4 linked regions of the Lonchura striata genome follow. The protein of the gene in region 1 purifies or fractionates together with the protein of each later gene. This does not show direct contact. Links are inferred from orthologs where the notes say so. Each region holds a gene or a part of one and is shown in the gene's direction. Other genes may lie near its edges.

Region 1 (6,966 bases):
GACAAATTTCAAGATTAAATTCTATTCTGCTCTTTTTTCCTCCTTTTAGAAGCAATCAACTAATTTTTTCAAAGGGTTAAATGTTTACATTAAATGTTTCTGGATAGCTAATGAACAACTTTTTTAATGGAGTGTACCTTAAATACATATTTAAAGTCTGTACATAAGCTTTAATAGAGCATAAAAACACAGAAAAGAATGCGTTAGTCTACTTGTAATGCACCTCTTTTAGGTTTGAAATGTCAAGAATTTTGATTCACCTTCCTACTCCTCTCTTTATTCAGAGAAACAATGGTCTCAATTCATTTGGTATAGTTTGCCATTATGTATTTTTGCTTTGCTTGTCCTTCTGTGTTTTAATTACTCTCTTACCATCAGAACTACTGTCAGAAAGTTCATACAGCTTTACACAGCAAAGCTATTACACAAAGGGACAGTGAGCTGCACAAATCCATTACAGAAAATGTCACTGACTTGTTACATTTTTATTTAAATTGCTTCAGACCTCTGTAATGAGCATCATTTTATCACAGCCATTTTATGCGTTATTTAAAAGGTTTATTACTGTGGCCAGTCTTTCTTGTCTCTCCAATGAGATTAACATTTCACTAATTTTATTTAAGTGAAATAGTTTTTGCTATGGCTTTGCTGTTAAGACTTCCAGTACTTCCACTTTTCTTGAGATTTAAAAGGAATGCTATTACTGAAATTCCTCTCTATTTACTTTTATATCTCTTTAGAACTTCGTAAAGTGAACAGTTTCTTTTACTGATTTCTCAGTGAATTGCTTAAGCAGATCTACAATGCTTGAGGGCACTACACAGTGAAAACTCTCTTATGTACACTAAAAAACCTCAGAAGTTTGTTAAGTCATTACTACCTTGATGGACACAGAGGAACAATTATTCTGTGACTTTTTTCTCCCCAGCGAGTTATCTTCCTGTTTCTAGTCAAAGATTCACACACTTTTACTTTCCTGCCTTTTGTCAAACATGTTTATAAAACTATCAACACTTCCATTAAGACAAATCCCCTCCTTACTATCTGTCTGTACTCTACTTTAGTTAGATAATTTGTACATTAAAAACTCAGGATATCTCACCCATTTCTCAATCACTTATTCAAAGCAAGTCCTTGACTGTTCTTTTGCACCATTATTGCTTCCACATAAAAGTCTTTTCAATTTACAGTATAACAGCTAATTTCGCAGAAGCAAAAATAACAAAACAATTACAGCTTCTAAAAGTATCAGCTTCATTAAGGCACTGCCATCTGGCATGCAGTTTTTCGTGCCCATTAGCACCACACCTTTTGCTACGTAAACAAAAAAAATTATACAGCATACACTTCATTAGTCACAAAGTTTTATTACAGTCACACCTAAAAAGCTTCTACCAAAACAAAAGGTAAAATGTTTTTGTGCAAGATGCCGCGCTCAGCTACTATCATGAGTGTACTTCCAGAAGTGTTATAAAAACGTACTGAATGTTCTAAAGTAAAGAGGGAATTGATTCCTACTGCAACTTAACTCACTTTCAAAGACAAAAGTGACTTTGCAGTTGTCAGTAAACTACATCTTTATGTTCTTCTCTGGTTCCCATTTTAATCTCAAAACACAAAAAAGAAAGGCTATTTTTTCAAAAGACCAAGACCAATAACAGAGTTGTTTTGAATTAATATATATACATTTTCAAAGTAACAGTTTAAAATTTTTAGATAGAAACCATTTAAAACCAGCTCTACACACAGAACGATTAAATGGAAGAAAATCCACAAAGTGAGAAATGCAATACTTGAGAAGAGCTCTTCTGGTGAACTGAATGCAATCCAACAGTGCAGATGCAGATACGTCTAGGACCTGTGCTACTAGATCAGGCCTTAAAATACATTACTGCAGGCTATAAAGCCATGCCTTCCTGTGGAAAGCAGCATTTGCCACTGAACCTGGTTGCTAGCTCAAAGAAAGCTAAGCCTCTTACCTATCATCCTGTTTCATCACTTTATTTAGACAGCCATCTCACTATTGGCATACAGCTACGTAGTATCTGCTTGCTGGAATTCCAAAATTGCTAAAACAATGTTGTACTGAAACAACCACTTCAGAAGAGCTCTCTTGTACTGTGGAACCTTCAATGGCTTAGAGGATGCTTCTATTAAAGCAATGACAATGACAAAGTAACAAGAGCCCTCACCATGAATTGAGAAGTACTTATCAGCATACTCAGTTTCTGAAAAAGCAGGCAACTACAAATTAATACAAATAAAATTAAAAGCTGAAACACTGGCACAGGAAGTGTAACTTAAGCAATAAAACATAAGGACATGCTCCTGTGTTAGCTTAGGATTTTCCTGCTTCTTTTTAGACGGACAAAATCAGCAGTTTTTCATTCTACCCAACTACTAACACTGAATGCACCATAAAGGACTCAGTTCAGGCTTAATACACCCTAAATATGAGAGACTCCCTACTATCAACAGTATTAAATTACCCTGCCAACCTAAGAGCAACTGCATTCACGACATCTACATTACAAATGAACTCTGCCTGGTACAGAAAACTCAACCTACTAAATGAAACAGCAGAGAATGAAAACCCCCACACTTTTGAGCTTTAATATAGCACCAAATTTAACAAATCCACTCCAGTATTATATTCTTAAAGAAAGGCTAGAAAGAGTAAAGCATATCTGTTAAGGATTCTGCCAGTCTCCCAGCCTGATGGGAGACTGCGCTCACACAAAGCAGGTGTCAGTAAGGCAGTCAAATGACTACTGCCCAAACACTGCTTTCAGGCAGACTATTTATTAATTTCCAGATTCTAAAAAACACTCGGGTTTTTTGTAAAACCCTCTTTCGATTTCCCATACATTAATAAAAAAGATTTACATGACTCACAAAGGAAAAAGGGGCTGCAAAAAAAGGTGAAATAAACTCAGCTTTTTTTTTTTTTTTTACCCAAAAGTCCACCTCTTTTTCATCTGATTATCTGCTTAAACAATCTTTGAACAACTGTTCCGTGACTTAAGATAAAACCGGAAACGGTGAAAAAATACTTTTTGAAAGATTGTTTGGATCTTAATTTGAGTCACATCATTCTCTCTCTGTATGTGACTGAAAGCTGTGTGCTCTTTGCTACGGGCTCCATTACCACCCTCAATTTTATAGGCACGTCTCTCCATCGCTATGCAGCAAACAAAGGACAGCATCTGCAATCAAGTGGTTGACTAAGAGCAAGGCTGTAGGTGTGTTCAGAATTAGTTCTCCATCCCCACCAATTTCAAAACAAGGAGTTTAGCGTAAAAAACGCAGGAAGAGCTGTATTGCTGAAAGTCCCGCGGTGTGAAAAGACTGCGGGGTCTCTTCAAGGCATGGTGAGGCTCAGGACCAGGTGTTCCCAGAGAAAACCTCTCTCGCTGGAATGCGCCAGCGCTCCCCGGCGTCCCCGCCCGGCGGTGTGCGCACAGGCCTGTGCGGCACAGCACCGAGCTCCAGGGACTCGGAACCAGCACAGCCCCGCCGTACGTGCCCGGGGGGCAACACCCGGCATGCGAGCCTGGAAACCAACGCACCGACCGCCCTCGCCCAGCCGTGCTCCGCGACCATCCTTCCCTCCGCGTCTTTGTCGCCGGGGACGTGCCCGGGGACTGCCGCTCCCCAACCCGGCTCCTGTCCCCGCTCCCGGCCGTGACTCGGCACTGCGGCCCCGCTCCGCCCGGCCCCGCATCCCGCCCGCTGCGTCTCACCACGGCCGAGCAGCCGCTCAGCGTCGCGTCCCCCGCGGGGCTCCACCGCCCACCATCCCGGCCGGCACCCGGCTCAGAGCGCGGCACACGGAGCGGCGGCCGCTCCCGGCTTCTTCCGCGTCGGAGCCGCCGCCATTCGCCGCCCGCTGCCGCCGGCCCGGCACGGCCCCGCCTCCGGGCGGGCACAGGGCTGCGAACTACAGCTCCCGGCAGCCTCTGCGCTCCTGCCCCCGCCGCGGCTTCCGGCCGGCGCCGGGATAGCGCGGTGCTGAAAGGCGCGGGGCGCGCGGCAGGCGCGGACCTCCGAGCGCCATGTACAGGTACGGGGGCGGCGGGACGCGCGCGTGCGAGTTCCGCTGCCGGGCTGCGTGGGAGCCCTCACGGACCCCTCGGGAGGCCTGGCTGCGCGGGGGTGCCTGGGGGGGCCGTGCGTGGGAGCGCCGGGAGCGGGTGCGGGACCCGGGGAGCGCGAAGGAGCTCCTGGGCATGGGAGCCGTGCCGGGATCGCTCGTACGCGTGCGGCCCCGCGGGCTGTCCCCGGCCAGCGGGGGGTCCTGCCCTCGGGATCCCGGCAGCCGCGGGGAGCGCTTCCCCCACCTGCTCGGGCGTCCCGTCCCGGTGCCCGCGCTGCCGTCGCGGCTGCGGGCGGGTTTGGTGGCGCCGGGAGGCTGCCGCGTCCCGCCGCTCCATTGGCTCCGCTCCCCGGTGCCTCGCCCGCCCCATCCGGGAGCGAGGCGCGCTCAGTCCCAGGCGCGCTCTTCCTCAGTCTGCCAGATCGAGCACACGCCTGCGCTGTGGCCTCCGCTCGTGCTTCCAGCGCCCGCAGATATCCCACACTTAATTGCCCTGCATATGGATGTGGAGTACGTGTGACTGAAATGCTTCAAGGATCCCCCTCCTGTGTTTAGTGTCAATCTGGCAGTACTCTCAGAGCCTCTGGGTTTTGCTGTGTCTGCAGAAAGCACCTCCAGGAGATCCCATCCTCTAGCACTAATGTTTCCACCACTTTGGAATGGGACCCCGGCAAGACCTCGGAGCTTCTCTCGGGTATGGGAGTGTCGGCCCTTAAGAAAGACAAGCTGGGCAATGAAAACACACCACAGGACCTGCTGGTGTCATCACCCTGTCTTCCTCCAAAAAGGCAGAAGGTGAAGGACAACGAAAAGGACTTTAAGGACTTTGTTATCGTGCGCCAGCCATGGCTGCTCCGACAGGCAGAGTCAGGTACTGTCACCCTAGTCCAGGTTTTGCTCACCCTTTGGTAGAGATGGAGAGTGAGCATCACGAGTCGGCCCTGCTTTGTTGTTAGTTCTTTTGCTCTTATCCAGCAGAATGTCACTTTCAGATATAGCGGCTTTCAGGCTTGGGGTGATAAATCCTCTTTTATGTGTGCCTTTAAATAGGGGTGGTGTGTCTGGCTCCAGAATTGTGGCCCATGAAAAACAGGGTTCTCTGCTGCCTAACCCCATGAGCACCTTTGTGTTTGTGCTGGGGGATGGTGTTGCATGTCCCTGTGCCTGTTTGCTCTTCTGTATGGGACATAGGTGGCACTTCAGCCCAGCAGGGCTGTGTTTGTGAATCAGTGTTTTAAGGTCGCTCGAAAATCAGTAGCAAAAGTAGGCTTAATATAAAAGCAGAAGTGTGACAAAGTTTGTTGGCAACATTCATTCTAGTTACCAGGTGCTTAAAGAGCACAGAGAAAAAGCAAGCTAAAATCAATCAGTCTAAAACCAAAGTCAATCCAAAAAATACCTGTTTGAAGGCAAGAGGAGAAGGGTAAAAAGAGTGCAGGCTGAGGTGTGCCAGCAGGGCTGTGTGCCAGCTCCTGATGGAAACAAGCAATATGAGGGACCATGCCAGAGGCATAGAACCATATGAGGGAAATCACATCAAAGGGTGGCAGCCTGCTGTGCTGGAAAGGGAAAGAGCAGGGCTCTTGGACTCTTGAAAGGGGCGTTAGAGAATACTAGGTTTCTTTCCTTGGTGTCTAAGTGCGGTTGTACTCTGGATGAGTATGGGATGCAAAATAAATAAGCAGCTCTCTCCAGGCATTATGCTGTCATACAGAAGGTGGAAATGCCTTCAGACAATCCTCTTTTTATATAAGACGCACTGCTGGGTTAAAGGCAGCTGTTACTGAGCTCCACCATTCTCAAATCTCCCATATGAATCATGACACATTCTGGAGCCCAGAGAGAAGCCCTGTGGTTTGAACCACATTGTTTTACATAATTCTTGGAGTGGTGATAGCATGTATGTTTTAGGAAGCAGTGTGTAGTACCTGATTTTGTCTGTGTATCATGCAGAAGCATAACTTACCTTCAGCTCCCTTCTGGGACCCTTGCATGCATAGGAAGAATGATCATTCACAGAGGGGAAAAAAACCCCAGAAAATCATACAAGCATTAGATTACAGAGGCAGTAACTAAGATGCTCTTGTTCCCAAAGTGAGTTATGTGAGTAGTGTCCATGGCTTTACTATGTATACAAAGTGAATATTACAGGAACCTTTCCATTTACCAGTCATGCCTAGGCAAAGATGGTAAAAATGTCATCCTACAATGATAAGCTGCAAGGGAGATGAATAGTGGGGCTGATGTCTGATGTAGGCTGATGTGTGGCCTACAGAGAAACTGTAGAGAGGCTTTTAACAACCAAACCAAGCAAGGCATCTGACCAGAAGGTGAAAATGAACTAGCTTTAACTAGAATGTGTTTTGCTCTTTCCCTACAGGTATTTCTTTGGATGCACTTCCAGATGAATTGCTTCTGGCAATCTTTGCCTGTTTGCCCCTAAAGGATTTACTGAAAGTTTCTACTATTTGCAAGAGATGGCATCGACTTTCGTAAGTATTATTTCTCTTCGTTTAGCACTGAGGAAAATCTTTGTTTTCATATACCATTAAATGGTCTGGTTTTCATCTTATTTATACATATATAATTCAATTTAGGCCATATGTGGGTATGTATATCCAAAAGATGCCTCACATGTTTTAACATTATTGTAGTCTATTAAATAGCTTTCCCTTCTCTGTTTTTGACACCAAAAACTTTCTGTGGTTGTACTCATAGCTTTGACCTGTTACCCATTTGAATTCACTAATGAGTAAAATTCTATGCCCCAGATTTGATGAATCTCTCTGGCAGACTCTTGATTTGACTGGTGGGAATCTGCTGCCAGGACTGCTTGGTCACCTGTTGCCTGCAGGTGTTACTGCGTTCCG
Region 2 (7,699 bases), on another chromosome or scaffold:
TGATAAGGAGGCAGTAACTCTTTATGGGCCCCAAATCACTGCCATCTCTGTATGAAGAGTTTCTTGATTATTTCATCTCTTGCTTGAGCCAGTAAAAAAAAAAATCTTACATCGTAGAGTTTCTATTTCAACATTATGTTGCAACCTAAAACTGTATTTAACACACTACTTAAGAGAATTAATACAGCATAACTTTCTAACATTACACATATAATATTCATTGTAACATTTGCGAAAAGCCAATCATAAAGTATGCATTTTTCACAGGTATGTAGGAGTCTGAAAGGAAGAAAAGCTTGATCACAAGAACACTGCTTCAGGCAGAATAAGCTCTTTGAAAACCGCTTGAACAGGACGGTCAGGGTGAATGTAGGGGCCCCTCTGCTGTAGTGGTCAGACCTGTGTCTCACCCAGCACTGATCCTGGGCTTGGCACTGTCCTTTGTGGCTGTCTGAGACCGAATTTTGATTGCTGAATAAAAACTTATTTTTATTAATTATTAATTTGGCTAGATCACTTTTACCTGTAACAGCGACCGAGATTCAGTCTAAGTGGGATAAGTCCTTGTCATGCCTCCCTTACACAATGATTCAGCTGCGAAAACTCTTCAAAGTACTGGGACATTCATGCCTGGGATGAGGCAATTCATGTTGGCTGATTTGCCGTAACACTGGATGTGGATTTCTTAACTTGCCTAAGGAGTTTTAGATCTCATCCTGACCACCAAGATTACAATTTATTTTATTTGCAAGGACACTCAGTGATCAGGAGCCCTGCTCTTGAAGCAGTCAATGCACATTTTGGAGCTCTTTGGACATTAGGCAATTACCAGGAGCTAGCAGCTTTTGTCCCAGGGGCATTGTGTTTGGACACTCAAACACTGCACCTTTCAGTTTGAGCCATCCCTTCATCTGAGCCCATTTCTGGGCTCAGGCTTCTCCTGCTACCTGCTTTGGAAGTGGCGTGTCATGGCTGAGTTCTGCAGGCAAAGCTTAAAACTTTCTTAAGACGTAATTCTCCTCCTAACTAAGCACCCAAGCCCTCATAGGGGTCATTATCAAATGTTGTTTCAACTGCACACTGCTTTACTGACTTCCACCTGGCAGATCTAGTTCCTGTTTAACCTCCAGTGTCCTTTTGCACTTTGCTCAGGTGGTTTCATTCTCTGTAGACAATTTACGGCTTAGCGGTTCTTTTCTCTCCCTTCCTTTCCTTCTCTCGGGCAGTCTCCACACAAGCCAGTAATAGAAAGGGAACATCACTAAATTTAAACTATTGCTAAGAGTCACTACCACAAAGCCACTGAGTCATTTGTGCTCAGAAGTCCCTACAGATACCCCCTCATGACAATTCAGGACAGTTTTCAGTGTCCCTACGCCTCGACTGAAGACCTCAGACTGCTAAGAACTGAAGAGTTGTGCTGCCTCCGGCAGAGGCAGGCAGTGTGAGCAGGTTCCCCATCACCTGCCCAGAGGGTTTGCAGCTGGGACTTCACAAGGACAGCAGTGGTGGGCTCCAGAGAGCTCCTCTGAAAGCCTCCGTGCGCTGTCTCCTCCCCACGGCTCAGCGAAGCCGGCTGGGGGCTGCACACAAGTTCCTGACACAGGGCTGGGAGCGCCTGCTGTCCTCAGCTGTGTGTGGACAAAAACGGCACCACACTCCTGGTACTAAAAGTGATTTCAGCATTTATTATATAAAAAAGAAAGACCTAAAGCATGGGGGCCCATGGGCCAAGCAGAAGTATTCCCATCGAGGATGCTGCAGCGCCAGGACTGGGTCCTCTTTCTTGAGCAGTGATTTCCGCGATGTTCCAAGCGGAGCCACACGGGTTCAGTGGGTAGATACCCCCTTTTTATGCTGTTTTTTTGTCCCTTTGGTTTGGTTTTTGTTTGGATCCTTCATTTGCATGAGGGTTTAAGGCGCTTGATTGGCCCATTACAGTTCTGTCCAGGCTGGCTCGTTTCGCCTGGGGGCGGGGGGGGGCGGGTTGGTGCACTTTACTCAGGTGCAAATACTCTTATCTACCCTTTTACAATAACCAAACTAACAGCACGCGCTAAACAATCATCAGCTATTTTGCAACAGTTTCTAACCTACTTTTGACACACAGTTTAGCCTCCCAAAGCTTCCCCCGGCAGGCACACGCGAAGCGATGTGCATTAAGGCACAAAGAAGCGGCAGCGACTACTCCTCGGCCGCTTTGCCGCAGCTTGCTCCGTACCGGGAGGCGGCGCAGGGCGGCTCCGAGTTTCACTTTCTGTGCCGGCTCCGGACCGAGCGGGAAATGAAAACTGAGCGGCGGGGCGGGCGCTGCCGCTGCGGGGCCGCTCCGCCCCGCCCGCTGCCCCGCCGGCTCCCGCAGCGCTCCCGAGCGAGTCCCGCATTCCTCCCGCTGCCCCGCCGGCTCCCGCCGCCCTCCCGAGCGAGTCCCGCATTCCTCCCGCTGCCCCGCCGGCTCCCGCCGCCCTCCCGAGCGAGTCCCGCATTCCTCCCGCTGCCCCGCCGGCTCCCGCCGCCCTCCCGAGCGAGTCCCGCATTCCTCCCGCTGCCCCGCCGGCTCCCGCAGCGCTCCCGAGCGAGTCCTGCATTCCTCCCGCTGCCCCGGAGGAGCGGCTCCTCCGCGGGCAGACGCGGTGTGCCGGCCCCGCTGCCCGCAGCCTGAATGGGTAAGGAGCCCTTCTGCTGGTTTGTGAGATTGGGGCCCGGAGGCGCAGCGTGTCAGGAGGGAAGGAAGCAGAGGGGAATAATCACGGAGAGTAGTTTGGCAGCTGAGTGCTCCTTTCAGGAGCATCCCGGAGAAGTGTGGAGGTGATGCGCTCTTAGGCGCTTCCTTCCCCTCAAGGGTGGGTGGTCACACCGAGACTGCTGGAGCCAGCACCTCAGGGGGACCACAGAAACAGAATAGATTGGGTTGGAAGGGAGCTTGAAATCATCTCGTTCCAAGCCCCGTGCTGAGGGCAGGGACACCTTCCTCAGAAGGTGAAGAGATAATTCTACTAGAATAGATTGGGTTGGAAGGGAGCTTGAAATCATCTCGTTCCAAGCCCCGTGCTGAGGGCAGGGACACCTTCCTCAGAAGGTGAAGAGATAATTCTACTAGAATAGATTGCTCCGAGCCCCGTCCAACCTGGCCTCCCTGCGGCAGCCCATCGGCACCCCGAGATTCCCAGGAAGGAAAAGGAGCTGAGAGGGAAGGGACAGCAAGCGCCAGAGGTGGGAACTCTGCTCGGGCACGGGGTGCGGGGAGTGAAGGGACAGCTCGGGGTCTGGCATGAGAAACCGGTGTCTTGGGAGGGCGGACGGAGGCTGGAGCAGCCCAGGGAGAAAGGGAGGACGCTGGGCTGGCTGAGGGAGAGGAATGTCAGGGTAGGTGATGATTATGGGGCGGAGGGTATCGCTGCTCCCTGATCTCTGCCCAGTGCTGGTGCGCTGAGGTACCGAGTACTACCCCGACCTGCAAAGAAGCGACGCTGCTCCTCCACTGAGAGCGGAGAAATGGGGGGCAGGAGGAGAGCCAGGCGCTCAGTCCCTTGGCTCACTCACCACCTCTTTTATATACCTGTGCAGGAAGAAAAGGAGGTCCAGTGCAAGTCTTAGGAAGGCTGTGTTTCTGATAGCTGAAACGAGGAGGTTCCGAGGGTTGGGAAATTCTGTTTGTGTCCCTGCTCCTACAACAGGATCCCTGATAGTGGTGACTGGGAGAAAATTTCATTAAACCAAGGACACAAGTCCTCCTGTATCCCTCTGCACCTTCCTGTCCTAAGATCCCTAAAATCTTTCTACCTTTTCCTCAAGCCACCCGAAGTCATTCAGCCCAGTGTTTGCTCTTTAATCCTGCTCTTAATCCTCCCTTTTTTGACAAAACCTGCATCTTGCAGGTTTTCTTTATCCCCAATATATCCCTAGCTATGTTTAGCTACCTCTGTGCTGCCTGTCCCTCTCCTTTCTGTCTCTTTTGACATCCCCACTGCCTGGGAGCATCCCTTACCTCCTGGCTGACTCTACACCAGCTAAACCCACCAGCCTGAGATGAGCTCCCACTCCAGCTCAGCTTTCAGAAATTTGAACGTATCATTACATCATTTTCAGGAAAATGGGCAGTCAGTGTTCAGGCTCTCTTTTGGCAAGAGAGAATCAGATGAAATTTGTATTTTCCTGCATAGCTATTCTAATCACCAGGTCTGGGTATAAAAAGTAATGGCCTTTTAGAGTTTGTTGTTTTTGTTTGTTGTTTTTTTTTTTCCCCACCAAAAAAACCCCAGCAAATTTGACAATATTTGGTAAATCTTAGTGTGCCACACTTAGAGATCAAAACTAATCTTCAAAAGCAAACAATCAAAAAGTACAATTGGAAATAAGTATACTTAATCTTAAAAGAAATAATCGGGGGAAAAAATCAATTTCTAGCTTTTCTGCCTGAATCTTCAGTAACTTTGATAATTGACACTATTAGGCATACTTAAACTAAAAACATGCTTTTAAAGCAAAGATTTTTTTTTTTTTTTTTATGAAAGGCAGAGTGAGGATTTTGCTCATTTCCCTTTCTCAGTAGCTTTTCTTCATTCTTTCAGTGCTTGGCCTTTGGTTGATTTTATGAGCTGTTTAATATTTGTAAAATAATAACTTCTGAGCATTTTTTGGGTCTCCACCCCACCCTTCCCAGAGAGTATACTCTCTTTTCTGATTCTGTTTCCATGTTGGCTTTTAGGAAGTTTCATTTTTGCATAGTTGCATTTGAACTCTTATCAGATGGTTTTGTTTGTGTGTTTTTATTTTGCTTTAGTAGCTGAGCCGCAGGAGACTGTCAGAGTAATGGTCTGTTGAATACTCCCTTAAGAATCAAGGCATTATAATGGTTCTCTTGCATGAACAGTTACTCTGCCTGTGATCACTTGAAGGAACAGAAAAAGAAACTGGTATGTTGGTACTTAAATGTGTTTCAAAATTACAGTCCAAAGTGCCACAGTAGTGCTGCGACTTGGGCGTTAAAACCAATGCAGGTAGCCCAGCAAAGAAACCAAATGTGCTTAGCAGGTCAGAAGAGAAGGTGAAATTTGACCTTTTCAATACTTGGGCTACTTTTTTTTTTTTTTTTTTTTTTTTTTTTAAATAAAAGATGGCTTATTTCCAAACAGAGGAGTTTTGCAACATCTGCTTTTGGGCAATTTTAATCATCTTATTGACCAAATCTTTCCGAACAGGGATATGTGGAGTTCCTTGGCTAGATGGAGCTGTTTCTGTGGAATTGAAGGCTCATTTATTTATTTAGCCACAAGAGGAAGACAGGATAAGCAATTGTCATCAGACTCCATTTCTGTTCCTTTAGCAATAGCCTGCACTCTTCAATACCCATGTTAATTCAAATATCCCATGTGCTGTTGCAGTAGTCTTACTGATTTTATTGATATTCCAAGCCAAGCTGGATGGGGCCCTGAGCAGCCTGATCTAGTGGTTGACATCCCGACCTGTGGCAGGAGGTTTAAATTAGATTATCTTTAAGGCTCCTTTCCAGCCCAAACCATTCAATGTTTTTTTGATTTCATTTTTTTCATAATGAAAAGGTCTCTTCTGTCCTTGAGCAATATTGTTAATGGGACAAACAAGTGGACGTCAAGAAACAAATAAGAAACCAGAAGTGGCACCAAGCGAGATCATGGAGGCAGAAATTGAAATACAAAATAATAAAGAGGAAACCAAAGAGGTGAAGGCCAAAAACCAGAAGCTGACATCAGTCTTTGGTCTGGCAGACTTAAAAAATGGTAATAATGTTTTGCCTATTCTTCACTGTCATATTTTCTATTTCTTTTGCCTACTGTTCCGTTCTCTGTTCATAGGCTTAATTTTCTCCTATTCCTTATCATCTCTTCACTGAGGATAATTCTCATTTTGCCTTGCTAAGTAACCATTTTGATTTTTTTAAGAATTAATTACATTAAGATCTCAGAGCTTTTTCTGTATTTAAGTCCTCAAATTGGCCATTGCAGCCAAAAAGGCCTAGTTGCTGGTTCTGTCTCTTTCCAAACACAGCCAGAAGTGCTGGATTTGTCAAACCATGGATTAGGCTCTGGTTATTCTCCTCATACAGGCAGCCTTTGCCTCCTGTTCTTCTATTTTATGTTGAGGTGTGTTGTGAGAGGACTGAAAATAGAGGAACTGGGAGAAATCTGAGAATCATTAGCTGGGTTTCCTTGGATTTTTTTCTGTCAGTTGCCAAACAAAACCAAATTTTATCTGTTTGATCAACGAAAGAATAGATTGAACACTTTTTCAGGCCTGACCAAGATGCTGAGCCTATACACTGAGTTACTGAATGTGCACAAGAGGAGTTTGCCACTTCCAAATAACTTTCACTTTCCTTTCTTGTACCTATCCCCAGGCCTCACTTCATCTTTTTCTCCCCTACAGAAGCTATTGGACTGTACAACCTTGGGCAGAGCTCCTGTCTGAACTCTCTGCTCCAAGTGTTCCTCATGAACATATGCTTCACAAGGATACTCCGAAGGTACCTCCTGTTTGAGCTCCCTGAGATATTTCCATTGTTGCACTGTTATCTCTACTCCTTTTATATGGGATACACTGTATATACATCCAATATATATATATATCCAATACTGTGTATTGGATCACTGAGGTGCCATCAGGATGCTTTTGGTCCCTCAGCAAGGTGTCTGCCTTGTCGTGTCTGTCATGCACTGACAGGTCCTGCAAAGGTAGAAGTTGCAGTGTCCAGACTTGCTAATCATCTCTGATTCGTGTCCTGAGCTGAGTCTTCATGGCTTGTATCTCTCTCCTTTCCCTAACAGGATGTAATTTTATTCCAGGCTCGCTCATAGGCCATTATAATAAAGGGTGTGTCACATGTAGCCATATCCACTATTGATTTTGTCACTTGAAGCATGTAAACATAAATATATCTTAATCCCTTGCCTCTGGGCCCTGACTGCCTTGGCTAGCACCTGACAGAGAAGTGTTGTTGCAGATCATGAATACCTAGCATTACTTAGTTTTGCTTGACTGTTGTCCACGAGTATCTTGAGGAGGATTTGGGCTTCTCTGTCTCTACTGACCACACTAAGAACTGGATTGATTTGTTTTCAGTTTACTCACTTCACTGCAGATTTAGTAATCTAAGTGGATTGTTTCTATTTAGTCCTTTCTCACGTGCCCACTAGTAAGCAGAGGAGAAAGAAGACAGATTTCAGATATGCAGAAATGATAAGTGTCATAAATGGACAAAGCTAAATAATGTAGATTGTAGGTTACCATGCTTATTTGAAGAAAGAAAAACCTGTGGGCTACTGTAAATTTAGGGAGAATTAAGAGTTTTGTTGGCATATTGTTGAAATACAAGCATTATGATATATGTGCCCATGAAATTTTGAGGCCAAGTTGAGAGTGAGGACATCAATGAGTGGGAGGCAACAAAGGTCTGGAATTGGCTGCAACTAATGTTGTTTCTAGAGGCCAGAAAGCACTTGAGGTCCTGCTTGGCTTGTCTCTTTTTCAGGAGTAAGCCAACTTAAAATTTTGGCCTTTTACTTTAGAACTGTCAGCCTGCACTATGGGATCCTTTTCTCTTTTTTTGATGAAAATGTCCCCATTCTGGTTCTTCTTGAGCTGCTGTCTCTGCTACTGACTTGTGCTCCTTCAGGTGTGGTGTCTGATATTTCTCCATTGAACCTCTGACTACCATTGGTGT
Region 3 (7,162 bases), on another chromosome or scaffold:
TCAGCCACAAAGCCTGTTGCCTATTGCCCAGTCTGTGTTTAAAGGACACAGTAGGGAACTCTGGGAAGAACAAAAACACACTAAAGGAGCCACTCTCTCATGGTGTGGATGGGAGGGGTACACAGGGTTATTACAGGGGACAAACTTCTCAGAGACCAGGCTGCAGGTGTCTCACAAAACAGCCCATGATATGCTTGTTCGTGTGAGGTCCATGTAGACAATGCAGCTGTTGTTTAACATAAGTGCAATATAACATTAATTTATTGAGCGGCAGTACACTTCACAGGAGATGTCCTTAATGCTGTACTGACAAGAAATTCCAGGTCTCCCACCCCCCATGTGACTTTATCTCCAGCCCTGCTTTTGCAGTTAGATATTTGTGTGAGAGGTGAAGCCAGAAATGTCACCTGCACGTCTCCAATTGCCATGTGACTGTGACCCTGCCAGATCCATATAATCCAGATACCGTGATAGGCACAGGTTTCCCACATCAGCCTGAACGGCCACAGCAGATAAAAGGAGATGCAGAGGAAGAAGCAGCCCTGCCCTAAAACACTTGCAGTCTAAGTAGGCAAAGTAAGTGAGCTGGCTTTCAAATGGCCTGAGGGCTGGCCTAACTTTATTCCTGTTGAAGTCAGTGATAAAAATCCCATAAATGGAGCCTTTTGGAAAATCCCACCCTTGGGGCATGAAAGTACTTAAAGGAAGAGACTGAAAATTGTGCAAGCTTTAGATTCAATTTTCATCAGTTTTTATGCGTATTTCAGAGGCCCCAGCCATGGAATGACAATACATCCTGTGACTTTCTGTTTTGCTCATGCACTTTTCATAAGCAAAATGTGTAGGAAAAATTATACTGTGGTTTTAATTACGCCCCTAGACTGCATTATCATGGGCACACACGTGGTGCACGGAGCTGTGAAGAACTGGTACCATGACGTGTGATAAAGGTCGTGCGACTGATATACCAGTGAATTCTGAAGAGGACAGATAATCTTGCTCAAGGCTGGCACTCAGGTGATCCAGTGTCATTTCTCAGTTCTGGCATGGGCTTCCTGTATGACCTCAGTACAGTCATGTAATTGTTCAGTGCCTCAGTCCATCATCTTTTTAATAGGGTTACTACTTAGTTACTTCCTTTCTCCCGCCCTCTCCTGCCTCACTTAGACTGCAATTCTGCCAGGGAGTGGAGCATTTCTTACCACGTGCAGGCCCTTCATCCAGTACAATGAGACCTAATAGCAGTGCTGGTAGAGTAATGCAATGCCAATTAAATAAATAAATGAAGATGATAATATCATTTAGGACTAGATTTGCTGCTTGCAACCCAGCCCAAGGTCAAAGTTCTGTGCTTCCCTGGAGCTTTGGGATGCGCTCCATGTGGAGGTTTCTGCAGTGGTGAAAATCAGCCCCAAGCAGTAGCTAGTTTTGGGAAAGGGCTGAGCACCGGTCACAGTTTCACAGGTGGCCTTCTGTGGCTAACTGCTGAACGTCACAAGGAAAGCCTCCTTGGAGATGTAGTTGGCCTAAGCAACTTCTCACCACACCTTTTTGTCTGAACTTGGTTGCTGGCTCTTCAATGCCACTGTGGTTTTCCTCCCTACCAACTGCTAAATCATATACACAAATGCCAGTGTCACAATTGGAGAGTGGCTGGTGTCTTTTTGAGCTGCCTTGCATTTTTGTAGGGGCCATGTTACAACAAAAGCCGTGGCAAGGCACTCAACATTGTGACCCAAAATGGAGTTGCAGTGAAAATTATTTCCATTACTTGAACCTGCATTTATTCTGATTAATTCGGTGTCTTTTGCTATATTTAGACAACCAGGGATTAATTGTATGCATGCTGAAATGCTGTCCCTTGTAATAAAATCACACTAAACTATTCCTAACTTCAGTGGCTCTTGAACTAGACACTTAGGGCCTTAGGCCTTACTTAGTAGCACGCGTGAGGCATGCAGGATCAGGGTCTCGATTGTTTTATAATCAAACTGAATGGTTTACAAATCTCTCTACTTGTCTATAATGCAATACATCAGGAATAGTTTGTCTGCTAATTTTATCCGGCACATCTTCTGAAGCACACTGCTTCTCAGTCCATGCTATTGTATCTTGTCTCGGAGACCATGTTGGACTAAATCTAGTCCACCACAGTCTAGGTCGGTATCAAGCCGGGTAAGAACTGATACATAGAAGTTGCCATATGAAGTATTTATAACTACATCCATATTAATAGCTTTTATGTTCCTTGGTTTTGTGGGTCACCCCTTTATTCAACCCATAATTAACTACATATTCAAGTGAGCTACTTTGGAGGGCTTTCTGCTAGGGCATAGCCTCTAAGAGGGAGGTACAGCGAGATTGTATTTCACGTGTGGACATGTCTGAACACGTTCCTGGAATCACCCACAGGCAGAGTGAAAGTTTTCAAATTACTAAATTAGACTCTGTATTTTAAAGTTTACCAGAACAGCTCGTGTGCACTAATAATTTTTGACCAGTGAAAATGAGTACAGAAAAGAAACAGGCCTAATACAACTCTTGGAAAAATTTACCGGGTACTTGGAGAGGTTTGAACGCTTTCCACTGGGCCGGCCGGACAGGGCTCCGGGGCCGCAGGGACGGCAAGCAGAGAAGCGCTGCCCTCCCCAGGCGCCAGCGGCTTCTCCAGCCCGCCCAGCTCCGGCGCCTTCCCCCATCCCGGCGCTCCCGCCCCGTTGGGGCGGCTCCTGCGCGGCACCGCCCGCCCGTGGGCGGGCCCTGCCGACCCGTGCGGTTTGGTTGAGTCTCCCTGCGTGTGTCTATAACTTTGTGTTGCTGCCGGTGGTTGTTAGGAGGAGGGATGTGGAAGTCGGCGGCGAGCAGGGTGACAGGCTGCTCGGGCGGGCTGCGGCGGCGGACGGGCTGGGCGCGGGCGGATCGCTTGCCTCTCGCCGGCTGCTCGCAGGGGGAGCGGGCGCTCTGCCGTTTTCCCATCCTTCGCCTTTAAAGGGAAGGCTCTCTGGAGCTGAAGGCGCAGGAGCAGCAGGAACCATGCAGCAGCGCTGCTTCTTCCTCCCGTGAATTCGGATTTCGATTGCTGCCGGTTGTGGAGGTGGCTCTCGATCCAGCACCCCCCCGCCGTCTCCCGCCCCTCCCGATGTGGCTTTGCCTGCCTCGTCTGCCTGCGCTTTTTAAATGACTTAAGTGAAGGGGGGAAAAACTGTCAAGATGGCAGCAGCAGGAGCAAGGAGGTTATGAATGTGGTGTTGATGCTGGAACAAAACGTATTCTCTTTGGCAGCCCTAGGGAGGGCTTAAAGCTACTGGACCTGTTGGAAGACTGGCGATTTGATTTGTTCCCGTTGCATTTGCTTTTTCCCTGCAAGAAGGAGGATTTATTACTATTTTTTTTTTTAACCGAGCAGCCCCCGGGGTGGCCTTCTCCTGCCTCCTCGTCCGTCGGCTGTGAGATTTTGGGGGGTTGCTTGCGCTTGGCTTGGGGGCACTGCAAAGTGACAGGTTTACGCTAGTGTGCAGTTGGATGTATGCTAAGACTTCGGCTCCCTTTAGGGCGTTTTGAAGAAGGAAAAAGTCTTCGGTGTAACCCAAAGGACCGCTCTCCCTGCCCTCCCGCCGACGGAGGGCGCGAAGGACCACCCCCCCAAAAGGCAAGATATCTGCGGAAGCGACGAGGAGCGAGCTCGGAGGCACCGGGGGCGTGAGGGGGTCTTCTCCCGGCTGGATACAGCGCGGTTCTCGCTGAAGCTACTTCTGCATCCGCATGGAGTGAAACATAAACAAACGCACACACGCACCGCGGGAGCGGCCGCCGCTCCGCCGGCGCGGAGGTCAGCGCCGCGGGCACCTCCGGCACCGCCCGGCCCGTGCTGCCGCCCTGCGCGGCCGCTCCGGCTCCTAATCTGATTTTTTTTTTTTTTTTTTTTAACTCCCTCCCTCCCCTTCTCCCCCCGCCTCCCAGCTCCGGCGTGCGCATCGCCCGCGGGGAGCGGGGCTCGGGGCGCAGCGGAGAGCCGGCCAGCCCATAGCGGAGCGCGGCATGCCCGCCCGGCAGACCCCCGCCTGCTAGGCTCCCGTCGGCACCGAGGAGGCGGCGGAGGAGGAGCGGGGTCGGCGGCCGCCCGCCCGCCCCGTCGCAGCGCCCCGCAGCCGCCCGCGGGGGAGGCCAAGATGGCAGAGGCGTCGCCCCCAGCCCCGCTCTCGCCCCTGGACGTGGAGCTGGACCCCGAGTTCGAGCCGCAGAGCCGCCCCCGCTCCTGCACCTGGCCCCTGCAGAGGCCCGAGCTGCAGGCCAGCCCAGCCAAGCCCGCCGGCGAGTCGACCGCCGACGCCGCCTCCATGATCCCCGAGGAGGAGGACGACGAGGAGGAGGGGGGCGGCTCGGCCATGACCGTCGGCAGCGCGGCTCCCGCGGGCGGAGAAGCAGCGGCGGCGGCGGCGGCGACCACCGCCGTGCCGGAGGAGGCGGCGCGGCTGCTGGCCCCGCTGCCCGGCGGCGGCCCGGAGGGACCGAGCCTCTCGCCGGGGGGAGCGGCGGCGGCGGCAGGCGGCGGGGGGCTGAGCGGGGGCCCGGCGGCGGCGCCGAGGAAGTGCTCGTCGCGGCGCAACGCGTGGGGCAACCTCTCCTACGCCGACCTCATCACCCGCGCCATCGAGAGCTCCCCGGAGAAGCGCCTCACTCTCTCCCAGATCTACGACTGGATGGTCCGCTGCGTGCCCTACTTCAAGGACAAGGGCGACAGCAACAGCTCGGCCGGGTGGAAGGTGAGGCGGGATCCCGGGGCCGCGGCGCTCCCGCCGCGCCGCCCCGACGGGCGGGCTGCCCCTGGAGATGCAGCCGCGGAGCGGGGTGCTGGCGGCTCGCCCCGACAGCAGCCCGCCGGGCGCTGGTTGTGCTGATGGTGGTCGCCCTGTCGGCTTTGCTTTTTTTTTTTTTTTTAGGAGAGGGATTAAGGAAAGTTTTGTCTCTTTCTTGTCGCTTTGTACAAGCGGTGAGGGCTATTGACTCTGAGGGCAGAGTACGCGCTGGAGCTCAGTTGACTTTTGTGATGCAAAAGCACATAAGCAGAAAGATAGAGGGAGAGAGTAAGAAAAATGAAAAATATTTGTAAGGTGTGTGGGTTTTGCTTTGCCCTTTTTTTTTTTTTAAGTTATGGTAACACCGGAGGTAGTTAATGCTGGAAACGAGCAGAATTGCTTTGATGTATGGTCAGTCTGCATCTCAAAGCTCAAATACAGAAAGACTTTATTATTTTTGTCAAGGAAACCCCCAGTTTTTTGCCCATGTGTTCCTCAAAAGCAGTAGAGGGAAATTCGCGTTTTGACATTTCTTCATAAAGTTAATCAAAGCATGGAGTTATTGGCTGTTCAGCCCCTGGAATGCGTGGTTTGTGATTCCTACGTTTCCAGTGTATGAGAGCACCGTCTACTGATAGTCCCAGCATTTTCTGTCCAGCACTGCGACAGTGAGCAGCTAAGAGTACTACCGTTTTAATAAGTGAGGGGGAAAAAAAAAAAAAAAATATCTGGTTTTGTGGCTTGTTTGCTCAGCGCGTGCAAAAGCACGTTGCAAGCAGGCAGGGTTTTACCCTCAAGAAAGAGTCATATAAGGCCTACCAGGAGCCAGAACTGCATGTAAAGCACATTTGAAGTGATTTTCAGAACTGCTTTTTTTTTTTTCCTTAGTTTTCCTGTTCATCTGTCAGCGTCTGTTGGACGCCAAAATGTCACATACTTGCAGCTGTACAAAAATGCAGGTGCTGCTTGATGCCGATACTGTTTGCAGAAGGAAATCCCAGCAAGGTTCAGTTGCTGCTGAGGGCCGATACTAGCAGCATCTGACACTGAGTTTTTGTATGGATGGCTGAAGGTAAATTTGCCAGCAAGTTCAGTGCTTTTATAGAAAAAATTAAATTTTCTCTTTGAATTTAGCTAGATTTGGATCAGGTGATAACTTTCAGTATACAAATTGGTCACAAATGCTGTATAGATGAAACATTTCTGGCAGTTTCTGTACTAGCAGCCTTATCATGTATTTTGGTGCCCGAGTAGGACTTGCTGCTAGGAATTGAAGTGCGGCTGTATGATTTTTACCTTCCAAATGAAGCACAGGAGAGGAAGTATTTAGTTGACAGACTTGTCTTAGGCTGGAGAAAATACAAACACAAAGTTTACTGCTGGCATGGCTAGCTGAAGACAAGGCTTTTAAAACCACACATATTTTTTTACAGCTTTTTTGTGTGTATTAGATGTTGAATTTTGATCTGACTTTACAAGTGTGACGCAGAATGTGCTAAAGGGTTACATCTTCCAATGACAGCCTGTGCCTTCATAAGTTGTTCGGTTTCACACACAAGCAGTGGCTTTAGATGTCAGCTGTTACGGCAAATCCAGCATTTTTATCTGGTACTTTGAATTTTCAGTGAATTCTCAATATCTTATTCAAACAAAGATTTACCTAACAATGGGGGTAACACTGTTTTGAATTTGGTGACAAAACTCCTTTTCACTTTAGCAGAAGCAGAATCTGGGCCATAATATGAAGTGCTTACATTGATTAGTATCCTTAATACTGTAACAATTTTTTTGACACTTTATACTGTTAATTTGATATTGATTCCTTTGCTGAGCAGCATTAACTGGTACTTGGAGGTAATTAAAATGTTAAAAACTTGGATCCCTTGAGATTCTTCTGTTATAATTTAGTTCAGAAGTTTCTCACAAGCCTTTAGGATGACCTTTCTCAGGACATGCAGTCACACTGGTAGCAGCAAATTCTGCCTCTGATTATGAGATGTCTCTAAAGTTAGGGTAAGACATTCAGTCACATTAACGATGGGTGTAGTTGTGTGTGGGTGGTAGGGGCATACTGGAAGGGGCCAGGGGGAGGTCAGGAGCTAATAATTCGCCAGGCATCTGAAACTGGAAAACGTAAGTCCTTAGCAAGGCTAGGATTTTTTTTTAAGTGCGTATACATTCAGAAGAGGACTACGTCAGTTTCTTGGCTGTAGAGTAGTTTAGTTTGTGCAGAGGCAATATTCTTATATGGGGACTCCATCTTAGTCTCCTGATATTAAAACACATTATATCTTATTATCATCTTTGTTTCCTTCCCAGGTAATGAATACAACTCTTCAGGAACTAATGTCAGCTTTTCACATTAG
Region 4 (7,297 bases), on another chromosome or scaffold:
AGGCACTCAGACTTCACAAGCTACTGCTAAAAACACCATTTTCTGGAGCTAACACAAGGACAGAAAGAATATATGTAATTTTACATCCCTTCAGATGTGAGAGCCCTGAGCCATGCAGCACCTCACAGACCTCTACTCAGGGCATATGGTATAGGTCCCATCCTGTAGAAAGGTTCCCTAACATTTTGGTTTTGTGTCCTCTTATAGAATTTTCTTAGACAAAAAATAATGTATTCATCATATCTGTTGTCAAACAACTATGTTCACATGAGAACTTGCTGCTCTTCTTTAAGATAATGCCAAGGCCACACAGGTGGTGTATTAGAAAACACAGAGTGGGAGCTGCTTGTGGGCTCCTCTGTTACCATCACCCTGCTGAGTTTATCCTGAAGGACAAGCTGTACATGCAGCACAGGGCAGCACAGCCTGCTCGGGCTGACACTCATGGATTGCTAACTCTCTGATGCAAAATAGTCTTCTGGTTAGGACTTTCACAACCCCAAAAGGGAAAACCTTGCAGCTGTTCAAGGCTTTAGGCTTTGCTTCCCTGCTGTGGGCATCAGCTGGTGCTGTGTCACACTGGTAGGTTCCTCTGCTCCCTGAAGTGAGCTCTGCCTCTTATCACACATGAGACAGAGTGGCAAAGGATTGTTTCTGAAGCGTCCCTGTATTATCCAGCATGAGGGCAATGGGATTTGCAGGCAGACTGTGCTTCCAGCTTAGGCAACCTACTAGGATAATAAAGATGCAGAGTGCATCAGGCTTCTCACAGCATCAACCACACTATGTACAACACAGCTGCAAGCACAGAAGACAGAAGCAAGAGTCCTGATGTAGAGGGAACAAGATGCTCATGGCTCTATCTGGGACATAGTTCAAATGCCTAGTACAGACAGTGCAAAGTGATCTATCACCCTGTATGTGAAGAGCTGGTGGCTCAAGACTATGTCTTGGTCTTGTTTGTATGCCTTGGCCAACAACTCCTGAGCCCTGTACTTATGTCCTACTTCTTGACCATTTTTCCAATTTTGGTGGTTCAGAAAAACAGCAAAACTCAAGATACAGTCCATGTATGCTTAAGTAATGTGAAATTAATTTACTAGTAGGATAATTATAACACACTTCAGCCAGGGGACTATCCACAACCCAAGGAATCATAGCCGTGTGAAAGAAGTAATGTTCTCCACTGCTTTGCTACTTTAAGACCATAAAACAAGGTCCTGATAGGACCTTGCACATCACTGAGTTCAGACACTGCTCTCAATGTCAAGAAGACTTCATAATTCTTTTTAGAAACTTTCTGACTCTAAGACTGCTCCTACAGCACATTTTCCAGGGTGTTATGCAGCTGTGCATCAGATTTGCTATTCAGGGGGATTTCCATTGTCGCTTTGCCATAAAGCTGACCTCAGAAGAGTCTATGCCACACATGGACCTGCTGTGTGGTTTCTCAATGCATTGGCCTGGAAAGACTTGTCAAATACTGAATGTGACCTGGCCAAAGTAATTATAAGTGTCTAACCTTCCTGAATGTGTTTTCCAATATGAGTGCCATGTTGTAATTCAATGTGAGACTTGGAGGAGCAAGGCTGGAAAGTTGCAACACTCTTCCATGAACTGATTCTCATATTACACCTGCACTTAATTGTAAGACTATGACTTTTATTGTCAGCAATGGTGCTACTCCCAGGCTGCAGACCAAATAACTATTTAGGCCAAGATGAAAGCCCAGGGATTAAAGCACCCTAGGAACCAAAAAATACTTCAAAGGGTGAAGAGAAAAGGGGACAGCTGACAGTGGTTTAATTTGTGGGCAGAGGGGTCCATGCCCCAGATTGTGAACTGAAGCCTGCACAGAGCTTGCTGTGTAAAAACTGGGAATTAACTGTGATTTTTAGAGAAAAAAGCAGAAACCAGTGCCTGTTCCCACAGCATGGAATAAGACCCTTTAGCTGAAAAAAGCACCAAAGCTGGACAACATTTGAAGCAAAGACCACAAAAAGGAGAAAGAACTAAGGATCTAGGAAAGGCTGACAAGACAAAAAAGTGCTTTAACACTATCTTTTCTGGAGGCACAGAGGAGGGAAGCACCCCTGCCAAGTCAGGAATTGCTCTGACTTCTCTGTCTTCCTAGAAAACATCAGTAAGACAGTGATTACTGCAAGAAGCCCTAGGAGTCCACTCAGGAAGGCTTCAGCTTCCTCTCAAACACACAGGGAAGCTCGGAAGCAAATGACTAATGGCCCAAAGCTTTATTTGATTTGCTGCTACAATTAAATAGTGGCTGGCAAAGCTCACTGGCCTCCCTCAGGTACTAATCTATACTGGGCTGTTTCAAAGAGTTCCTGAGAAACTGGTGCTTAGATAACCTCATTAAAAGCATTTGAGAGGCGTTTCAGTTACATTAATGCACAATATGGCTAGTGAGGATAGCCATCTGCTGCTCATACATAAAAATATGAATAAATCATCTGTTGGCTAGCTGAGGTTCCTAAGTTATATATAAATGGAATAAAGATATGATGGGTACTTGGATATAAAGAGTGCTCACAGAGTGAACATTAATTTGGTAATTCCATAAAACAAAAGGATAAGGAGTGTTTGAAGTTCCACTTAGGCTAATATTTGATTTCAAAGGCTGGCAACTAAACTAATTTCTTTTCAGAAATTAAAACCTGGCACAAAAATGTTTAAATTACTGCCCCCAAGTGAAGTGTTCCTTCTGCAAACCAGGGGGTTAGAAATTAAAGAAAGAGAAGAACATGGATATACAGCATAATCTTCTGTTTTCCTGACTTGCCTTTGCCTACACCTGTAGCCATGACAGATCCACTACAGTAACTACCTACTTACAGCCCTATTGCTGCAAGTATATAGAGCCCCTCCCATCCAAAAGGAAAAATTGCTTGTCATGAACAGGTAACATTTTTCACCTTCAGATATACCACTTGCCCTTTATGGTAAATTCCTTTTTGGGGGTTCAGTGGGAATTGGTTAAAAAATAAATGTAAGAAAATTGTGAAGAAAAAATGTAGCCCTTTAATGCAGATTGGATCAGAAGAACTGCAAAAAAAAACAATTCTGGCAAAAGATCCTGCTTGATATATCCAAATTTTGGATCATATCTTCTACATTTCAATCCCTGGAGAGCATCTCAAGAAGTATCACTTCTACATTTCAATCCTGGAGAGCATCTCAAGAAGTATCATCACTGCCAAGGCACAGACAGTTTTGACAAAATTCTCTTTAATTTGCTCTTACAAATCTGTAATAAGGGAAATTCTTAAATTTCCCGTGCTGTCTCTTCTGGGGCATCACAATTCTGTCATCTAACCTAAATCTCATGCTGAGGTTTCAGCTGCAGTAACTCTTGCTCTTTTGTCTTCACTATGGACTTTCAGAGAGCTCATGTGCCACACATGCTATATACTCCTGTTTGTTCCTGCTCGGCCAGCTATGCCCCGGTGAATCATGCCCAGGCTGAGGTTGACTGTAACATCCTCTATCCTCTTCACCGAGCTGCTACTGGCTGCTCCCCATCCTGGCTCTGCATCCACTGGCTCTGACCTTGCACTTGTGCTTCAGGAGCATCCTGATTTTCCCGAACATTTCTCCAGTTTCCTTAGATCGTTTCAGAAATCTAATCGTGTTCCCCAGCATGGCCACAGCCTTCCCACAAAGTGAGCAAACGCGCTGCCTGTATCACTAGCCACATCACTGGTGACAAACTTTGGTGGTTTGAATGAACCGCTGTGTTTCCCGTGCTGGCAGCTGAGCACTGCTTAGCCATGCAATAGCCGCGCCAGGTCGGCACCTAGCTGTCCCTCGGCTTGGACTTATCACGGGAGTCAAACCCACCCTTAAACTAAAAGCTCCTTTTTCTTGCGCATCCTTTATCAAAGGCTTTATGAAGTCCGAGCCCAGCTGTTCCCACAGAGCCGCTGCTGCTGCGCATCCCATCCTTGGGAGCGCAGGCGGAGCGGCCGGGCGGCGGGCCGGGCGGCGCTGGCAGCGGCGCTCCGCGGGCGCTGCGCGGGCCGGGCCGCCGGGGTCTCCATGGCGACCCGCGGCCGGCGGGGCGGCGCGCCGGGGGTTGAGCGGCCGGGCTGCCAACCGGCCGCGGCCAACAGCCGCCGCCTCCAGCGGCCGCGCCTACCGGGGCCGGCGGGCGGCCTGGGCGGCGCAGGGCGGCCCGTCCCTTCCGTGGGCTGGTGGCGAGCGGAGCCGGGCAGCGCGGTGGGGCACCCCTTATCCGGCGGGGCGGGCGGGAGGAAGGGGTTGCCGGGGGCGCGTTTGTGGTCTTTCGAAGGATTTTTTATTATTTTTTCCCCCCCCTCCGCGAATTCGTTTTATTTCTGTGGGTTTTTTCGCTCCTCCGAAAGGTACGGGCGTCGGGGCGATGCATCGCACTGGAGAGAAGAGCCGTGCGGGGCGGCGGGAGTCCTGCCCCGCCGCCCTGCGCAGCAGCGGCGGCCGGGCCGTGCTGGCGGTGCTGACGGAGAACGGGCAGCAGCGGCGGCCCGGCGGCCAGGTGAGCCCCGCGGCCGGCAGCACTGCCGCCCCCCGCCCGCAGAGCCCGGCCGAGCAGCCGCCGGCATGAGCGGTGCACGCACCTGCCTCGAGGCTGCCGGCAGAGGCCCGGCGTGGCGGGGTCAGAAGGTGACTCGGACTCCAGTTCTTAAGCGTGAGTTTCCCGAGAAACCCTGCTAGTAACCGCTCAGTCCTAACCTGCGGGTGCTTCCCCGTGGAAGTACTCTGCGTAAATAATTCATCCTGGAAGGAAGGGATATGCTTCTCGACAGCTTCCCCTCCTCAGTGTAGGGGGTGGTTTAAAGAAAGGCTGTCCACTGACCCAAAGCTCTCCTTGGTGTGTGGCTAGCCATGCTCAGTTCAGGGTGCCAGAGCCTTCAAGAAGTTCAAGTCAATGACGTGTCATTTTTCTGCCTTTCTGTCCCCTGAGTCCCCTGGAGTCTGCTGGTGGGGCAGGGATAATGTTACTCTTCTGACCTAAAACAGCAGCAAGTATGGGTACACAAATTCTTCTTGGTTTTGGCTGTGTTACTAGCAGAAGATGGTGTGAAGGATTGTAGCCTGGTCACACATGGTTTGAAGGGTTGCAATGCTTAAGCTCAAAAATTCAAACTTCAGTTTGAATACTCAAACTCTACTTGAAATGCCTTCTTGCTGGTGCAGTCCTTCCTAAGTCTGTGGCAGTGCTTGAGCACTTTTGTTAACTTGCTGCACTTGCAACTGCTCCTTGCCAGAGCTGAATGTATAGCAGACTGGACTTTCTAGCCCCTTGGAACTGAGCAGCACCCACGTTGTCCTTGGTGGGAGGCTCTGAATATGATGCTGCTCCCCTGGTTTCCTGACTTTTGCTACTCTTAAGTTTTTCTGTGAGGAGTCTGTCACAGCAAGACAGCAACAAGTGGCACCAACTTCAGAAGCATCATAGGTAGTTGGTGGCTTTTCCCATTAACTTTTGTCATTGGTGTCTGTTACACAGAAAGTGATTTTCTTTTTGCAAACACGTGACACACTGTTTTCCTCGTAAGTTGCCCTCCCACAGTGTTACTGTGTGCTCTGCTTCAGGATGCTGCTGTTATCAAGCGCTTCTCTGGCTTTGGAAACATCATCCCCTCCTCTAGAAAAGACGAAGTGCCCAGCTGCATGGTCAGTGCTGTATCAAAGCAACGTTTTGCTATCTACAGAGATGACCCAGAAGATAAAGAAAACTACAGCTGCCAAGTGTCTGAAGAGCTGGAATTAAGCCACTGTGAACTGGATACCAGTGCAATGACATCCAGTATTCACCGGCTGCTGGATCTGAGTTCAGGTAACTCCTGTTACTGCTCAGATGGTGTCCTTAGCACAACCACATGTAGGGTGGTTATGAGTTGTGAATTGTAAGTTAGTGTGTAGATTATGTGACAATAAATAACACTAGAAGCTAACTTGGATTGTGAAGGGCAACACTTCTGAGCTAAAATTAGCGAGAGAAAGTCAAGAGATTAATTATACAAATGTCTTGCTGCTTCCTATTACCTGTTAGGCTCTCCTATGGTAGTGGACACATCCTTCCAATCCCAGCCAGAGGATCACATGGAAGATGTTGTAACTCTGGCTGTGGGAGAGTATGCAGAAGACATTCATCAGTACCTCCGAGAGGCTGAAGTAAGTTGCTATGGGAAGCTTTTAGGTACCTGTGGTAAGCTGCAATATTGCAAAGATTCAAGGCTGCCACTGAACTACAAAGAAGAGAAATAGTAAAAGTAATTTCTTAAGGCAGCATATAGTCAGTAATAAGTTCTTTCAGGATTAATGCATCCCTGTTAATTCCTGATGGGAGCATCTCTTGACTGTTAGGTATGAAGACTTCTTGCAAATGGGAGAAGAATGCTGAAAAAGTGCTAAAGCAGTTTGATGTGATCTCACTGATAGCTCTCTGGCTATAGCAGTACTTATTCTTACCTTCCTGTGTCAGAGCACTGAAGTGCAGTCTCCTGATGGGAAGAAGGGGGAAAATCTGATTGGTTCATTTTCAGATCCTTCTGAATGGCTCAACTGATGGCAAAGGCTGTCCACAGTCCAGGAAGTGCTTTACTATTCTCCTGCTAACACCAGAGTTTCAATCTGTCTCTTCAGTGTAGAAATACTACTTTCTAGAGATGCCACTAGCTGGGAATAATTGCCACTAGCACAACAATTGTAGTTAGTACTTATATTTATTAAGAGTGGGACAACTCCTGCTCCTTTTAGTGTAAGTATAAAGAATATTCATCAGCTCAGCCATCCATGGTTCTCTTCAGAGTGATCATCCTGATTCTTCAACTCTTTTCAAACAGCTAAGATTTAGGCCCAAGCCCTTCTACATGAAGAAGCAGCCAGATATTACAACAGGAATGCGTGCTATCCTGGTAGACTGGCTGGTGGAAGTAGGGGAAGAGTATAAACTTCGGACAGAGACTTTGTACTTGGCAGTGAACTTCCTGGACAGGTTTCTTTCCTGCATGTCTGTTCTCCGAGGGAAGTTACAGCTTGTAGGAACAGCAGCAATTCTTCTGGCTGCGTAAGTGTTTCATCTTCTGAAATCTTGGTGATCTGAAGCCTATTTTTGGGCTTAGTCTTGTAGTGTAATTTGAATTAGTAGGTTGCTTTTCATGATGTCTCAAGATAGGCTCCTTTGGTACTATTAAAATTAAACATTTACTGTTGAATGTGAAGAACTGTAGTGGGGAAAACTTGTAAGCATTAACACAGGAGCAGAAGCAGCAGCATTACAGTGTTAAACTGCTAG

Evidence for each region.
Region 2: the proteins of SKP2 (region 1) and USP18 purify together in Homo sapiens (affinity purification with western blotting; 4 studies listed by BioGRID and IntAct, with this or other methods). This does not show direct contact. The link is inferred for Lonchura striata from reciprocal best matches to the Homo sapiens genes SKP2 and USP18.
Region 3: the proteins of SKP2 (region 1) and FOXO3 purify together in Homo sapiens (affinity purification with western blotting; 3 studies listed by BioGRID). This does not show direct contact. The link is inferred for Lonchura striata from reciprocal best matches to the Homo sapiens genes SKP2 and FOXO3.
Region 4: the proteins of SKP2 (region 1) and CCNA1 purify together in Homo sapiens (affinity purification with western blotting; 4 studies listed by BioGRID). This does not show direct contact. The link is inferred for Lonchura striata from reciprocal best matches to the Homo sapiens genes SKP2 and CCNA1.

The regions. Positions count from the first base shown.
Region 1 is NC_134642.1:37,835,081-37,842,046, reverse strand, and holds the start of SKP2 (S-phase kinase-associated protein 2), read left to right. Parts: upstream 1-3,964; 5' UTR 3,965-4,055; coding exon 4,056-4,063; intron 4,064-4,340; exon of another isoform or gene 4,341-4,448; intron 4,449-4,701; coding exon 4,702-4,967; intron 4,968-6,476; coding exon 6,477-6,588; intron 6,589-6,867; coding exon 6,868-6,966. UniProt on the Homo sapiens protein: Substrate recognition component of a SCF (SKP1-CUL1-F-box protein) E3 ubiquitin-protein ligase complex which mediates the ubiquitination and subsequent proteasomal degradation of target proteins involved in cell cycle progression, signal transduction and transcription.
Region 2 is NC_134607.1:13,675,934-13,683,632, forward strand, and holds the start of USP18 (ubl carboxyl-terminal hydrolase 18), read left to right. Parts: upstream 1-4,685; 5' UTR 4,686-4,916; intron 4,917-5,561; 5' UTR 5,562-5,590; coding exon 5,591-5,759; intron 5,760-6,405; coding exon 6,406-6,502; intron 6,503-7,699. UniProt on the Homo sapiens protein: Interferon-induced ISG15-specific protease that plays a crucial role for maintaining a proper balance of ISG15-conjugated proteins in cells. Regulates protein ISGylation by efficiently cleaving ISG15 conjugates linked via isopeptide bonds.
Region 3 is NC_134605.1:69,784,077-69,791,238, reverse strand, and holds the start of FOXO3 (forkhead box protein O3), read left to right. Parts: upstream 1-4,154; 5' UTR 4,155-4,169; coding exon 4,170-4,763; intron 4,764-7,162. UniProt on the Homo sapiens protein: Transcriptional activator that recognizes and binds to the DNA sequence 5'-[AG]TAAA[TC]A-3' and regulates different processes, such as apoptosis and autophagy.
Region 4 is NC_134604.1:65,660,941-65,668,237, reverse strand, and holds the start of CCNA1 (cyclin-A1), read left to right. Parts: upstream 1-4,296; 5' UTR 4,297-4,399; coding exon 4,400-4,531; intron 4,532-5,592; coding exon 5,593-5,836; intron 5,837-6,052; coding exon 6,053-6,174; intron 6,175-6,845; coding exon 6,846-7,069; intron 7,070-7,297. UniProt on the Homo sapiens protein: May be involved in the control of the cell cycle at the G1/S (start) and G2/M (mitosis) transitions. May primarily function in the control of the germline meiotic cell cycle and additionally in the control of mitotic cell cycle in some somatic cells.